Rattus norvegicus: one gene and its partners. The protein of the gene in region 1 interacts with the protein of each later gene in a pairwise test. Links are inferred from orthologs where the notes say so. Each region holds a gene or a part of one and is shown on either strand. Other genes may lie near its edges. The genes, in order: Hprt1, Sdcbp and Iscu.

Evidence for each region.
Region 2: the proteins of Hprt1 (region 1) and Sdcbp interact in binary tests that used the Homo sapiens proteins (3 or more experiments, as listed by UniProt). The two-hybrid records come from large-scale screens. The link is inferred for Rattus norvegicus from reciprocal best matches to the Homo sapiens genes HPRT1 and SDCBP.
Region 3: the proteins of Hprt1 (region 1) and Iscu interact in binary tests that used the Homo sapiens proteins (3 or more experiments, as listed by UniProt). The two-hybrid records come from large-scale screens. The link is inferred for Rattus norvegicus from reciprocal best matches to the Homo sapiens genes HPRT1 and ISCU.

What each region holds. Positions count from the first base shown.
Region 1 is NC_086039.1:137,662,023-137,666,310, reverse strand, and holds part of Hprt1 (hypoxanthine-guanine phosphoribosyltransferase), read right to left. Parts: intron 935-4,288; coding exon 828-934; intron 1-827. UniProt on the Homo sapiens protein: Converts guanine to guanosine monophosphate, and hypoxanthine to inosine monophosphate. Transfers the 5-phosphoribosyl group from 5-phosphoribosylpyrophosphate onto the purine.
Region 2 is NC_086023.1:24,307,620-24,311,907, reverse strand, and holds part of Sdcbp (syntenin-1), read right to left. Parts: intron 3,492-4,288; coding exon 3,316-3,491; intron 37-3,315; coding exon 1-36. UniProt on the Homo sapiens protein: Multifunctional adapter protein involved in diverse array of functions including trafficking of transmembrane proteins, neuro and immunomodulation, exosome biogenesis, and tumorigenesis.
Region 3 is NC_086030.1:48,515,506-48,520,559, forward strand, and holds the start of Iscu (iron-sulfur cluster assembly enzyme ISCU), read right to left. Parts: upstream 3,192-5,054; 5' UTR 3,151-3,191; coding exon 3,037-3,150; intron 1,783-3,036; coding exon 1,669-1,782; intron 925-1,668; coding exon 814-924; intron 1-813. Other genes in the region: Sart3 (squamous cell carcinoma antigen recognized by T-cells 3), read left to right, coding at 4,362-4,670.

The DNA of each region.
Region 1 (4,288 bases):
GTAGAAAATATGTACAGTAAGCTGAGAAAACAGAATAATCATCTTCTAACCTTCCTTCAAAAAGGTTGATTTATTTACTATGGATTCCCACTATTTATGTCTAAAACTGGGTGATTAACTAGTAAGGCTTCCTGCTGTGTGTGTGTGTTTGTGAGGAAAGGACTTTAAAAATAGAAAACATTGGGGCTGGAAAGACAGTTCATCAGTTAAGAGCACTCCCTGTTTTTGCAGAGGACCTAAGTTCAGTTCCCAGCACCCATACAGTGGTCCACAATGATCTGTAACTCCTGTTCCAGGGAATCCACCAGACTTCTGGCATCCTGGAATGCATATGCTTCACATACATACATGTAGGAACTCATATGTACAAGTAAAAAAATAGAAAACTTGTATTCATTAATAAATTGGCTTAGCTTATATATTCAAATATCAACTACTTAACAATTGCTAAGTTAGAATTAAAACCCTCTTGGCTGGAAAGATGGCTTGGCGTGTGAGAGCACTTGTGCAAGCATCAGGCCCTAGGTTTAGATCCCCCAGCACCCATATAAAAACCAGGTGTGGCTGCACCTGCTTGTAACTTCAGCACTGCGGGGCCAGATACAAGCAGATCCCTGGGCCTTGTTAGCCAGGCAGACAGCCTACCCATATCAGTATGTATGCTCCAGGTTCAATGAGAGACACTGATTCAAGGGAATAAGAGAGCAAGAGACTAGGATACCTAATGTCCTTCTCTGGATTCCATATACATGCATGCACTTCACATATATATCACATATGCCCCCCCACACCCCTCTAAAAATAACTTCAATCAAGGTCTTACTAACCTGTCCATAATCAGTCCATGAGGAATAAACACCTTTTCCAAATCTTCAGCATAATGATTAGGTATGCAAAATAAATCTAGGTCATAACCTGGTTCATCATCACTAATCTGCAAAAGAAAGACAGCTGTTTCAAAACAAAGCATTATAAGATATCCACATTTAATTCAACTTAAATAATAAGTCTTAGTTTACCAGAGGAATTTAGGTATGAGGGGGTATTTAGAGCAGTTAAATTTTACCGTTTTTGTAATAAATTATACTTCTCTAAGAAAACCATGTGTCTTATTGCTGAAAAGGGTCAAGAATGAGAAGTAAAACATGACACAGGGGTTGGAGATTTAGCTCAGCCGTGGAGCGCTTGCTTAGCAAGCGCAAGGCCCTGGGTTCGGTCCCCAGCTCCGGGGGCGGGGGATGACACAGAATTCCCTTTGGGTCACAAAGAGAAAAAGAGAAAAAACTGAGGTATGACAAACGTGACATATATAGAGAGAGTTCAGAGATTGAAACTGGGTCTAAAAATTTTACTTATGTTTTATGACTGGGTCTCTCATTGAACCTGGTCAACCAATTTTGCTAGTCTAGTTGGCCAGGAAGCGAAGGGATCTTCCTGTCTCTGCCTTCTCTGTGCTGGGGTTCCAACTTCAGGTCCTGAAGATGACATGGCCGGCACTTTATAGACTGAGCCATCTCCTTGATCCCCTAGATTATGTTATCTGTTGTGTGTGTGTGTGTGTGTGTGTGTGTGTGCAGGTCACCAAAAAACTGATCCTTCAAAAACTCAAAGTTAAAAGTCTGAGATGATTACAATCTAATACAATAACTTCACAGAAGATACTCCAAAACTGTTTTGCATTGTACCATATTGGTTATATTAGTATGTCCAGAGCCCAGCATACAAAATATTTAATAGTATTAATGATATGGTACCTTGGTGGAGAAAATATAGTATGATAGTTTTATAAATATACATGTACCTGTACACACAGAAAAAAGTACAGTAAATTCATTTAACAGCTAAAGCGGCACATCCCTATTAACCCAGTCCTTGGGAAACTGAGGTAGAAGTTCCTGAATGAGGCCAGCAGGTGTTACTAAGTAAATCCCAGGCTAGCTAGCTAGAGGCTACAAAGACCCTGTCTTTAAAAATATCCCCAAACTGTAAATCATAAAAGCCATTATCTTTGACAGTAAATGTTATAGTGAGATAGTGCAGGACGTGGGTGGGGTCTCTCTCATGGATCCAAACTGGGCTCAAACTCACTGTGCAGTTGACCTTCTACGCGTGAACCTTTGGTTTCTCCCTCTTGAGCATTTGGACTATGAACATGAGTTATCACAGCCCAGTTTACCTAGTGTTCAGTGTCAAACCCAGGGTTTCATGCATACTAGGCAAGCACTCCATCACAACCATCTGTAATGAAATCCGATGCCCTCTTGTGGTGTGTGTGAAGACAGCTATAGTGTACTTACATATATAATAATGAAATAGATAAAATTATAAAAAAACAAAAAATTCACATAATATTTACATTAAAATACATTTACTGGGTTGGGGATTTAGCTCAGTGGTAGAGCGCTTGCCTAGCAAGTGCAAGGCCCTGGGTTCGGTCCCCAGCTCCGAAAAAAATTAAAAAAAAAAATAAAATAAAATACATTTACTAGCAAAAATAGAAATTGGACATTTGTATCATATAAAGGAACATTCAAAGAGTATTTTATAAAAAAAAGCAGTTTTGTAAGTTTTCTTAAAAAAAGGTTCTGTGTTCACTCATATTTATTTATTTATTGATTTATTTATTTTTATTTTTTTATGTGCGTACACTGGCACTCTCTTCATACACACAAGAGGGCATCAGATCCCATTAACAGATGGTTGTGAGCCACCATGTGGTTGCTGGGAATTGAACTCAGGACCTCTGGAAGAGCAGTCAGTGCTCTTAACTGCTGAGCTATCCCTCCAGCCCCTGTAAGCTTTATTAAGGAAATTTTAGTTTATGTTTTGAGGAAAGATGACAGACTGGCAATTTTATAAGAAAAAAACATTCATGCCAGGCTCATGAGAATGTATGTACTATAATCTAACAAAAATAAACTCGGATCATTTCAAAGTACCTTAGAATCAAGATTAGTATACCACACGGACTTTCCTGAGGCATACTCACAAGCTCCACCGGCTCACTCGCTGTTTCTGTTGTGGCATATCACACCCAGGTTTCATCATACTACTGCACCTACCAAAATGGCTCAGTGCCTGACTACAGGTTCTACAGGTAACTACCCAAGAACTTCAAAGACTATTTCAATTAAACCCCATATGAACTCTGCCAAGTTCATCCCAGTCTTTTTATGTGTGTTGAAACAGGGTCTTATTATGTAACTCTATCTGTGCTGGACCTAGATATAGAGACTAGACTGGCCTCACACTTGCTATCATCTTCTCTCTGCTTCTTGCGTGCTGGGATTACAGATGTGCACCCAACTCTCAGTCATGTAGCCTAAGAATTCAAACAGATAATCAGGAATTACTCAAAAATAGAAATTCTATTTCTGTCATCACACCAAACTATTCACCAATGCAAAAGTCTTGATTTCTAATTAAAACAGATTCATGTTTGAGAATTTTCGTTTTGTTCTGAGATATTTATATTGTTATTTTAACAGTAAAAATTTTGTTTCTGATTTCAGATAGTCTTGGCTCTGTAGTCCACCCTAACCTGAATCTCATGATATAGACCAAGCCATCCTCAAACCTGGGGCAATCTTCCTGCTGTGGCTACCCATATGATGGGGTTTACAAGTATGAACCATCATACCCAATTTATTAAAGCCACAATGATACAATTCTTCCCCAAAAAGCAAAAATAGTGTTACAACTCTTCATATTAGATGCTTGTGTGTGTGTGTGTGTGTGTGTATTTACATGGGTTTGAATGTGTGTATGTGAAGGTCACACCTAGCAATTTCTGTCCATTCTAAAACTTTGAACATGCTGATTACTATTCCTAAAATACACAACAATTTTCTATTATTCTCACACACACACCCTTTCCTGTTTCATCACTGGCTGGTTTGGAACTCTCCCTGTCCTTGCTGGGATTAGAAGTATGTTCCACCACAACTGGCTTGTTATCCAACTCTTAATTCATAATAGTTTTCTTTTTTGAGACAGTCCCATGAGCTCAGGCTGGCTTTGAACTCACTATGAGGCTGAGAATGATTGAAGCCAACCTTCTCCCCCTGCCTCCCAAGTGAGTCCCACCTCCATTTAATGGAGTCTTGCTTGGGCCAATGAACAATGTTATTTTACTACAAAGGCTTACATAATCTGAATTGTATACAATGAGCTGATCATAGCTTAAGTTCATTTCCCCTTTTTATATTATTTCTGATAATGTACCTGTGTAACAAGAAATTTTATGTGGAAACCACAAGAATTTTCATGTGACTGCCATTAATACAAA
Region 2 (4,288 bases), on another chromosome or scaffold:
CTGTCCTTATGCATGGTAACTGTCCGTTCAAAGGGTCTGAAGCATAAGGGCTGTGTTAGACGGAAACTTCCACTTCCTATTTCAATACACACGCATGCCTACAAACTCTGCCACATGGGGTATGTTGCTACAGTAAGCGCTAGGTGTTTCTAATAATCTATTATGGTTAACATGTCACACGGGTTGACTGACTCACTACTGAGATACCCTGTTAGTGTGAGGAGAGAGCATAGTGCTCCATGGAGTTATCACTGCGCTTTCCCTCCACAGCCCACATACCTTGCGTTAACAGTGAGCCAGATGCCCTTCCACTAAACCACTAAGTCCTTCCAGCACCTCTGGAACCAGCTGGTCTCAGACATTTAAGCCTTAAACTTCCCTGCACTTTCCACATCTCAGTTTTGACATTTTCACGGATTCGTTCCTTTCACTTACTTACTAGGTGTGCTATGCATAAAGTGTAAGTTGCAGGATGAGCTCTCCCCACCACGTGCGCCAGGACCCCACCTAGGTGGCCGGGATTACAGGCAAAACTTGGCTCTAATGTGAAAGACCCACCAGAGAAGCAGTGAGTGGGGGTTCATGAGGCCTGACTGGACGGGAAGGCACAAGCTACAGTTAAAAAGGCCTCGAGCTCTGCCTGCAGAAGCTGTCATGCCACTAATGCTCGCTGACTGACTTTCTGAACGTGCTCTGTTTACAGCAGGAAAGTCTGCAGCTCTACCTTCCTATTAGTCCAACTCCATTCAAAGTAACTTTTTAAATCATTTAAGAATATATCTAGCCAAAGATGTGAAAGCCCTTTCTGTAAGTGACAGATTCTCCCAATGCAAAAGATACTGAAAAAGGAAACCACAGAAGTTAATTGATGATGGCAAGTCCAAGCAACTGGATTGGCCGAATTATTATAAAAATACCTTTACTACAACACAATTAATTTGCAGATTTAATGCAATACCTATCAAAATTCTAATATTGGACTTTACAGGTTTAGAAAAAAAAGCAAACCAAGAATTCCCTTGGGCCCTTAGAAGAGTGCAGCGGGCCAAAGGGATGCTGAGGAGCGAGGACGCTGCTGGGGCTGCCATACTCAGGAGCAGAGCACCCACCGCTACAGCCTGAAGAACTCTTGGGGCTGGTGTAAACACAAGACCACCGCAACGGAGTGAGTGCACGAAAAGATTTGGCAACAAAAGCAAAATCATATAATGGGGAAAAAACAATTCAAGAAACAACACTGGCAAAACAGATTCTACCTGTGGATGAGTGAAATTAGATTCACTTTGTACTAAAATAAAATAAAAATGGACCAGAATCCTAAATCCTAAATGGCTCCAACTTCTAGAAGAAACCACAGGGACACCCTTCAAGCACTTGAGGTTGACAACAACTCTGCGTAGAGCAGCAACAGTAAAGGGATGAAGCCCAAGATTCAAGATGGGACCACATGGAAACAAAATATTTCTGTACACCAGAGGAAACAATCAGCACAGCAAAAGGCCACAGCATGGGCAGCCTTTACCAAACTTCAGACAAGCTGCTAACACCCAGAATTTATAAATAGTTGCAGAAATTACATACTAAGGAAATAAAGTCACCAATCAACAGACGGTCAAATGAACTAATAAAATATTTTTTCAAAATAACTTAAAAGGTCCAGTAACTATGTTAAAAAGTTCAGCGGGGAGGTGGCACATGCCTTTAATTCCACCCTTTAACCTCAGCCCTCGGGAGGCAGAGGCAGGCAGATCTCTAAAGTTCAGGGACAGAACAGTCTACAAAGTGAGTTCCAGAACAGCCAGGGCCACACAGAGAAACTGTCTCAACCTCTCAGCGCACAAAAACTGCTCAGTCATCAAGAAAATGCAAATTAAAACTACTTCAAGATACTACCCCTCCACTCATCAAAATGACTATTATCAAAAAACAAGGGTACAAATTAATATAGCCACTAATAAGTTTAGAAGCTTCTCAAAAAAAATAAAACACAAAAAAAAACAAAACAAAACATTAAATTAGCACATGGCCTTACTACTTCACCCCTAGGCACACACTACATGCAGAGAACCCCACAGCCTGCTGCTGACACACTTGTGCCCCTACACTTAGTCCTGCTTTATTCACTACAGCAATGAGCTGGAGTTAACCGAGATGCACTTTCCTCCCAGTCGGAACCTAGCCAATAGTGTATGCACATAAACAAAGGTGCACACGATACAACATGGAAAGCAATACGGTAAAGGTTAGGGCAAAGGAAAGGACTGAATGCAGCTGGTCCACACTGAGTTATAAAAGAAGTTAAAGTGATTTCTTTTCTTTCATGAATTTGCTTATAGTTGTGAGTAACTCAAAAAATACATTCTAGGGTGGAAATGTAAAATCCACCATGAAGCTCCCTCCACAGCTTCTGTTCCGGATAGCTGTACATCAGTACAGAGGTTCCCTGAGATTCCGGATAGATGAACATCTGTACAGAGGTTCCCTGAGGTTTATAATGTTTGAGTCTGGTGAATTCCAACATGTGATGTCTTTGTATTTGCAATGTTACTGCTTTTTTTTAAAAAAAAAGGCACAGGTGGGCCTGTGCATGTGAGTGCAGGTGCCTATGAAGAAAGGAACAGATATTACAGGCGGCTGTGACCCACCCTATTGGGTATGGGAACCAAACTGGCCAGACCTGGTCCAATTTTTATGAAATTCTGCTTTACACATTAAAACAATTTTATGGACTTTTCCATTTTTATTACATTTAGGAATTTAATAAACATTTTTTGATCAATGTCACTTTTACTCTCTCAGAGTGGTGATACTGGTCTTAATACTTGTGGGAGCTGGGAAGAAAAGAGGCAAATCATTTTTGTACAGTTTCCAGGTTAAAAGTAGACCACCGACCATGCAGAATGACTCATCCTCTTTTACTTAACTGCACAACCACCCCAGACCAGATTTGGTTTCAAAACTGAGTCCTTAGGAACTCTCTGACATTTAGTCCTCATGACAAGGGGCCCTGGCACTGGACGCTTAGGCAGTGTGCTACAGAGTGAGGCCACAGCCCTTCCTACATCAGTTACTCCTGATGCATATATAACCTTTCCAGAGAGAGAGACAGGAAAGCTTGCTTAGAGGACAGATTCCCAGACAGGGTGGTAAAATGTATATGCAAATGTAGACTTCTATGAAAAGAATCTAACTACGTAAGAAAAACACCTAACAGCAAGATGTAATAAATCAATATTTGCCTTAAAAAATAAAAAGTAGACAACTCTATTTAAATATGGGCTTGCACTTCAGTGTCACTGGTGGGGAGCAGCTCACCTATCACGAATGGTCATGGTAATCTTCTCTCCAAAGGCCTGCTTGAGCACCTTGTGTGCCTTATCGGAGCTCCAGCCGGCACAGTTTTCACCATTGATCTGGAGCACCTGGTCCCCAAATCGCAGCCCAACCAAGGAGGCTGGGGAATTAGCCTGGACTAGTTGAACAAATATACCCTAGAGAACAAGAAAATAATTTATCACTGCTACATGTAACTCCAGTTTCTGGGGACCTGGCATTATTTTCTGACCTGTAAGGATACCAGGCATGTATATGGTGCACAAATATGCCGGCCAACACTCAACACAAACAATTATAAAAACAATTAAATGATAGTTTGGGGTAACAATTCCGTATTTTTTTAGCTCAAAGGCCACTTTATTCATCTCTTAAAATAATCAATAAAACTGGGGATAAACAATAGCAACAACAAAGTACTTCTAACAATAAACTCCCAGGACACACACACTTATCTTGAACTTCTGTTGGTTCAATCAGACTTTGAACCGAGCACAAGCCTACAGTCTGTGGTGGACCAGACATGAGATCTGCCATGAAGCAGTAGCAACAGGCAGCATCCCACTGACTGACCTGTGCCAAGCAGTAAACTAGAACGGTGCTAAGGCACCTCTGCTGAACTATACCACACTTGAGCTTCAGTGAGGCCAGGGCTTTACGAGCACAATGACGGATCTGAAGCATGGACAGAGGGCTACACACAATCATGCCCTCAGCCTTTTGAGTGGAAAGGTAGTGTTCGTCTTTCCTGCCTACATCAGCCTCATTCAGTTGAATACTGTGATACGCTTATTTTCTATGTGGAAAGATGGACTCACTGAAGCTAAGGAACAGTTAGACTGCAACAGAATCCAGGAGGATAATGGTTCAAATTTTATGAACAGAAATAACAAACTTGCAGAACCACCTCATAAGTAATTATCACTTAGTTTAAAAATGTGCACCCAATTCTCAC
Region 3 (5,054 bases), on another chromosome or scaffold:
GGGAGGGGTTAGGGGGATGTTGGCCTGGAAACCGGGAAGGGGAAAAACAATTGAAATGTAAATAAGAAATACTCAAGTTAATAAAGATAAAAAAAAAAAAAATTGCCCCTTCCTTCTATGAGCTGGGATTACAGGTTGGTGTGCCGTGTGCCACCACCTTGTGCTGGTGTGGGTAGTTTCACAGCTACTGGGTCTTTTTTTTTTTTCTTTAAATGCTCCTTAGCTTCTTTTTAAAAAACATTTATTTATTTTATGTATATGAGTACACTGTTGCTGTCTTCACACACCAGGAGAGGGCATCAGATCTCATTACAGATGGTTGTGAGCCACCATGTGGTTGCTGGGAATTGAACTCAGAACCTCTGGAAGAGCAGTCAGTGCTCTTAACCACTGAGCCATCTCTCCAGCCCCAGATTTTGAATTCCAACTCCTCCCTCCGACAAAGTTGTTTTTGCAATCTGTGCATGTCTTTCTGGACTCCTCCTTGAAGGAGGAGATGGGATGAAACAAACAGTAAATGCTGCTCAGGAGCTCTTAGGGGACCTTGGTGACCTTAGGGACATCAGGGAAAGCCCAAAACCATCTTTCAGTTCTACTGCTGGGAGGCCTGGTGGCGATTCTCATCTACTGAACTGGCAACCAGTGACAACAGTGACTAACACACTGCCTCAAGCAACAAGATGGTCTTAAACTTCCAGAGTAAGGAATGTAATCAGTGCTCGGGTAGGAAGAGAAATTAAACCTTAGAAAAATGGGCTCCCCCCCCCCTTTCTCTCTCTCTCCCTCCCTCCCTCCCTCTCTGAGCAGCCTTACCGTTTTCCCCTTTACCCACTCCGTGGCTAAGGAGCTGGAGGCAATGGCGGAGCCGCAGCCAAATGTTTTAAATCTGGCATCCACAATCTTCCCCTTTTCATCCACCTGGATCTAGAAAAGAGACGGGAGCTGAGAGGCCACAGCTTGACACCTGGAATCCGGGAGCCGGGAACTTCCAGAGGTGAGTGTTCCACACGAGCCCTGGTTTGCTATGACTCCACATGCCATGACATTCATCACTGTGTTTTGCTTCAAAGGACTTGGCGACAGAAAGTGAAACTTGGGGTCCACACAGGCTCAGCTGGGAGAGGGGCAAGGAACAGTGCCCCTCACCCCGCTTGGTTGTTTTCGGCCCTTGCCTGCTGTATGTGAGTGCCTATTTTGCAGGGGTCTGTTTATAGATGTCCCCCCATCAGCACCTCAGGCACTGACAGAGTCTGTAACCAAGGTCTCCATCAATCCCTTTCTCTTGGGCACCAACTGTAATTAACAGCTCTTTTCTGCCTGCCATTAAGGAGGCTGAGGCTGAGCTAAAACTCCAGCTGACCTAGGCCCAGCCCACCACCTTCCACCCCGCTTCCTTTTCCTGGAGAGGTTTGGTTAACACATTCCTTTTCTCACTGGGGGCCTTCATTTGGTCAGAACAGTCACAAAGTCTTTCACTCGGTGAAAGCAAGATCTACCGATGCCTTGGTGTGGTGGTGTTGTGGAGAATGAGGCCACCTGTTTCGGAACAGAGACCCATCCTTGTCAGCCGCCCATCCCTCCTCACAGGAATGGCAGACAAGATGAAATGCTCTGTGAGCAAACTTCTTGTTGGGGTGCAGGGGGTGATCCTTTTCATCCAGCCAGTACCTGCAGTTTCATGACGTCACCACATGCCGGAGCCCCCACCAGTCCGGTTCCAACATTTTTAGATGTCTTGTCAAGGGACCCCACGTTCCTAGGGTTTTCATAATGATCCACAACCTGAAATGGCAGATCAACAGATATCACTGAGGCTTTCCTCTCTCCCTCGGATCAGCAATTTGTATGGGACAGAGATAGGAGCTCAAAGTGAGACCTAAACTCTATCTCCTCCCCAACGACCTTTGTACTGGAGATACGTCCATGGTATCGGTGAAAACTCAGCCACACCTTCATTTCAAGGGGCTGTCAACCAAAAGCCATCAGTTGACTCAGACATTCTACCAGGTCTGTGCTCAAGCACCATTTCTGTTTTTACCAAACACAATACACAAAGAGAATTATACACTTAAAAATCCCAAGAATAAAAATGGCTCCAAATGTAAGATTTCCCAAGAAGTTTCAAGGTGACTGTTAGAAATGAGCCGGAGGTTGGGGAATGAATGAGTCATTGGTGGCTGTAAACAAACACGCCGCCACCCCGATGCAGGAGCGCCCTCTGGTGCCTTAACGCTGCCAGCTCGCACAAGGTCCTGTAGCTAATGTCAACAAAACAACCTTCCCTTTGGGGTGAAGGCCTTGGGCAATGGCACCCAAGCCAGAGCAGAACAAACAGCCATTAAAGTCAGGGACACACCAAGATAAAAACCGAGTGCCCTCCACCCCCCCCCCCAGCCCCAGTCACCAGGAGGCACCCTCATCTGCACCTTGAATCTAAGCCCTGGGGCTCCATCACGCATCATCTAATCAGGACTTTTGGTGTTTTGTACAGCTTGTGGTAGTTTTGTTTTTTTCGAGTGAGTCTCATGTCAAGGGGACTTTAACGTCCCTAGAAGGCGGGGGCCGTAAACTACCCTTCCATACTTTCTGCTCACCACAAATAAATAACCGAGAATCGAAGTTTTATGTTGCCTAGGTGCTTGGCTGAGCTCGAGGCCATCAGCTCCTATAGTAAACGTCATAAGTGGTTTCCATTTGTTGGACCGAGCGCTCTACACACAGGGACTGCAGAAGACCCATGTGAGATCTAAGAGAAAGGTTGGGCAAGGGTCAGTGACTTGCTCAAGGCCAATTAGCCAGGGCAATGGCCTAGCTGGTGAGCATGCCGGTGCTGCAACGTGTGCTCATGCATGTATGTGTGCTGCCCCTTGACCCCCGGCACGACATACCAGGACCCTCCCTTCTGGGCTGTCAGAGTTGGGACACTTGGAGTAGCGGCCGCGGCGGGGCTGAGGTGGCCGCGGGGTCCTCGGTGGTTATCTGTGCAACAGCTGCAGGTCCCCTCGATGGTTCGCGTACCCCCTCGCCCGCCCATACCTTCTTGTGGTAGAGCCTGGCAGGAGCCGACAACTCCCGGGCGGGCAGGCGCGGGCTCCGGAGCAGCAGCGCGGACGCCGCCCGCCTCAGACGGCCCGCTCCAGCCGCCGCCATCTTGCCGGCTTGCACCTGCGTCGACCTCTGCGACGCCGAAGGGAGGGCGCGCTTGTATGACGTCACCGCTGCTTGGCGCTTGCGCTCTCCGCTCCAAGCGCGTGCACGCGTTTCGGCCGGTCTCTTTGGTCACGCCTCCGGAAGGGGCGTGGACGCGGCGCAGAGCGGGAAGGTCTGAAGCTGCGGTCACGTTTGTCTGGTGCTGCGATGGGCGTGGGGCCGCCCAGAAGTGGGAAGCCGGGCCTGACTTGCCCGAGGATGCTCAGACTCAGGCTTATTTGGGATTCGAGCTTGCATGAGTCTCTGTTCAGGTTCAGGCTTTTTTTTTTCTAATTCAAAGGCAGCCGTTTCATCTACGGAGCAAATAACATGTCAAGTGTACACTAGGTGTCACTAAAAAAAAAAAATTCCTGGGAGTCCCGAGGAAAGCAATTCCTGTCTCGTTAACCTTGCTGATGAAGGAGAAAGGCAGTGCAGAGGAAAACAGCAGTGTTCTTTTTTTTTTTTTCTACCTCAACAACGAGGAGTATAAAAGAAACAAACACCATACCTCCTCGACATGTACATGTTTGTTTTACAATCCACTGCATCCCGAGACGATACTTACTGTAATGTGTTAGCATTGGCTATATAGTCACAAAATCGATGCGTCTAACACCTGTTAGATACTAGGTGCTAGAAAGGGGAGGGAGCTTTATACTGAGAGATAGGCTTTTCTCGTGAATGGTGCATTGTATCGCGGAGGAACTGGAATTTTGTCCGCACCTGAGGGCCGGTTGCTGCGAAACAACAACGCACTGGAGCGGGCTGAGCCTTGCAGAAATCCTTTAGTCCAAAAAAAAAAAAAAAAAAAAAAAAAAAAAAAAATGACTTTGACCTTCCTAAGATGGCGTCTGGACCTTAACTATGGCCATCACGCACACACAACTGCCGGTATGGCTGCCACTTCCGGTCCCAAGACCCAAAAGCTGTCCAAGGTCGTAGCCCGACGCAGGTTATGCTAGTGAGCCTTTCTTCCTGACAGTGGCGTCCAGAGACGCCTAAGGATAATATCAGTGGTGGAGTCTTCACGGCTTCCTCCGCCCTGAGGCCCTTCGTGCCACTTCCGCTGGCGCCGAGCGGAGTTTTGGTCAGGCAGACGCCACGGACAGCCTAATGTTCGCCGGGCTTCGGCGGGCGAGGGAGGACCCGAGAATCGCGGGCTGCGCAAGATGGCGACGGCGACTGCATCCTCGGCGTCCGAGCCGGAGGTTGAGCCCCAGGCCCGGCCTGAGGCTGAGGGAGAGGAGGATGAGGCGAAGCCGGCGGGTGTGGGCAGGAAGGTGCTGTCCAGCGCGGAGACAGCCAAAGCCAAGGGCCCTGAGCGGGAGGTGCACCAGGAAGGTGTGAGCGAGAGCGATGGGGATGAGGAGGACGCCGCCATGGCTTCCTCCGCCGAGAGCTCCGCCGGGGAGGACGAGTGGGAGTACGACGAGGAGGAGGAGAAGAACCAGTTGGAGATCGAGCGGCTGGAGGAGCAGGTGGGCCGGGGTGGGCGGCGGGTTCTCTTCCCTCGGGTCCCCAGGCCCGGCCCGCCCCCTCGGTCCTCCGTGGTTATGGAGACCGCTGAGGTCTCCAGGGCGCTGTCAGCCACCGTGGGTCCCCGGTTCCCGAGCTCAGTGGGTGCCCAGAACTTCCGTAAAGTATTCCATTGGATCCTCTTCATGGTTGGGGAAGTAGTGTTAATCCGGTTTCACTGGGAAACTGAGGCTCCTGCCCAAGGTGACACTCAGCTGAAAGTGTTTATCTTTTCAGGCTGAACCCAATCAGGGCTCTTATCCTTTTTGTATTTTTAAACTTGTGTTTGTATGCATGCCCGGACGCGGTTGTCTCATAACCATGTGGGTTCCGGGGATTGAACTCTG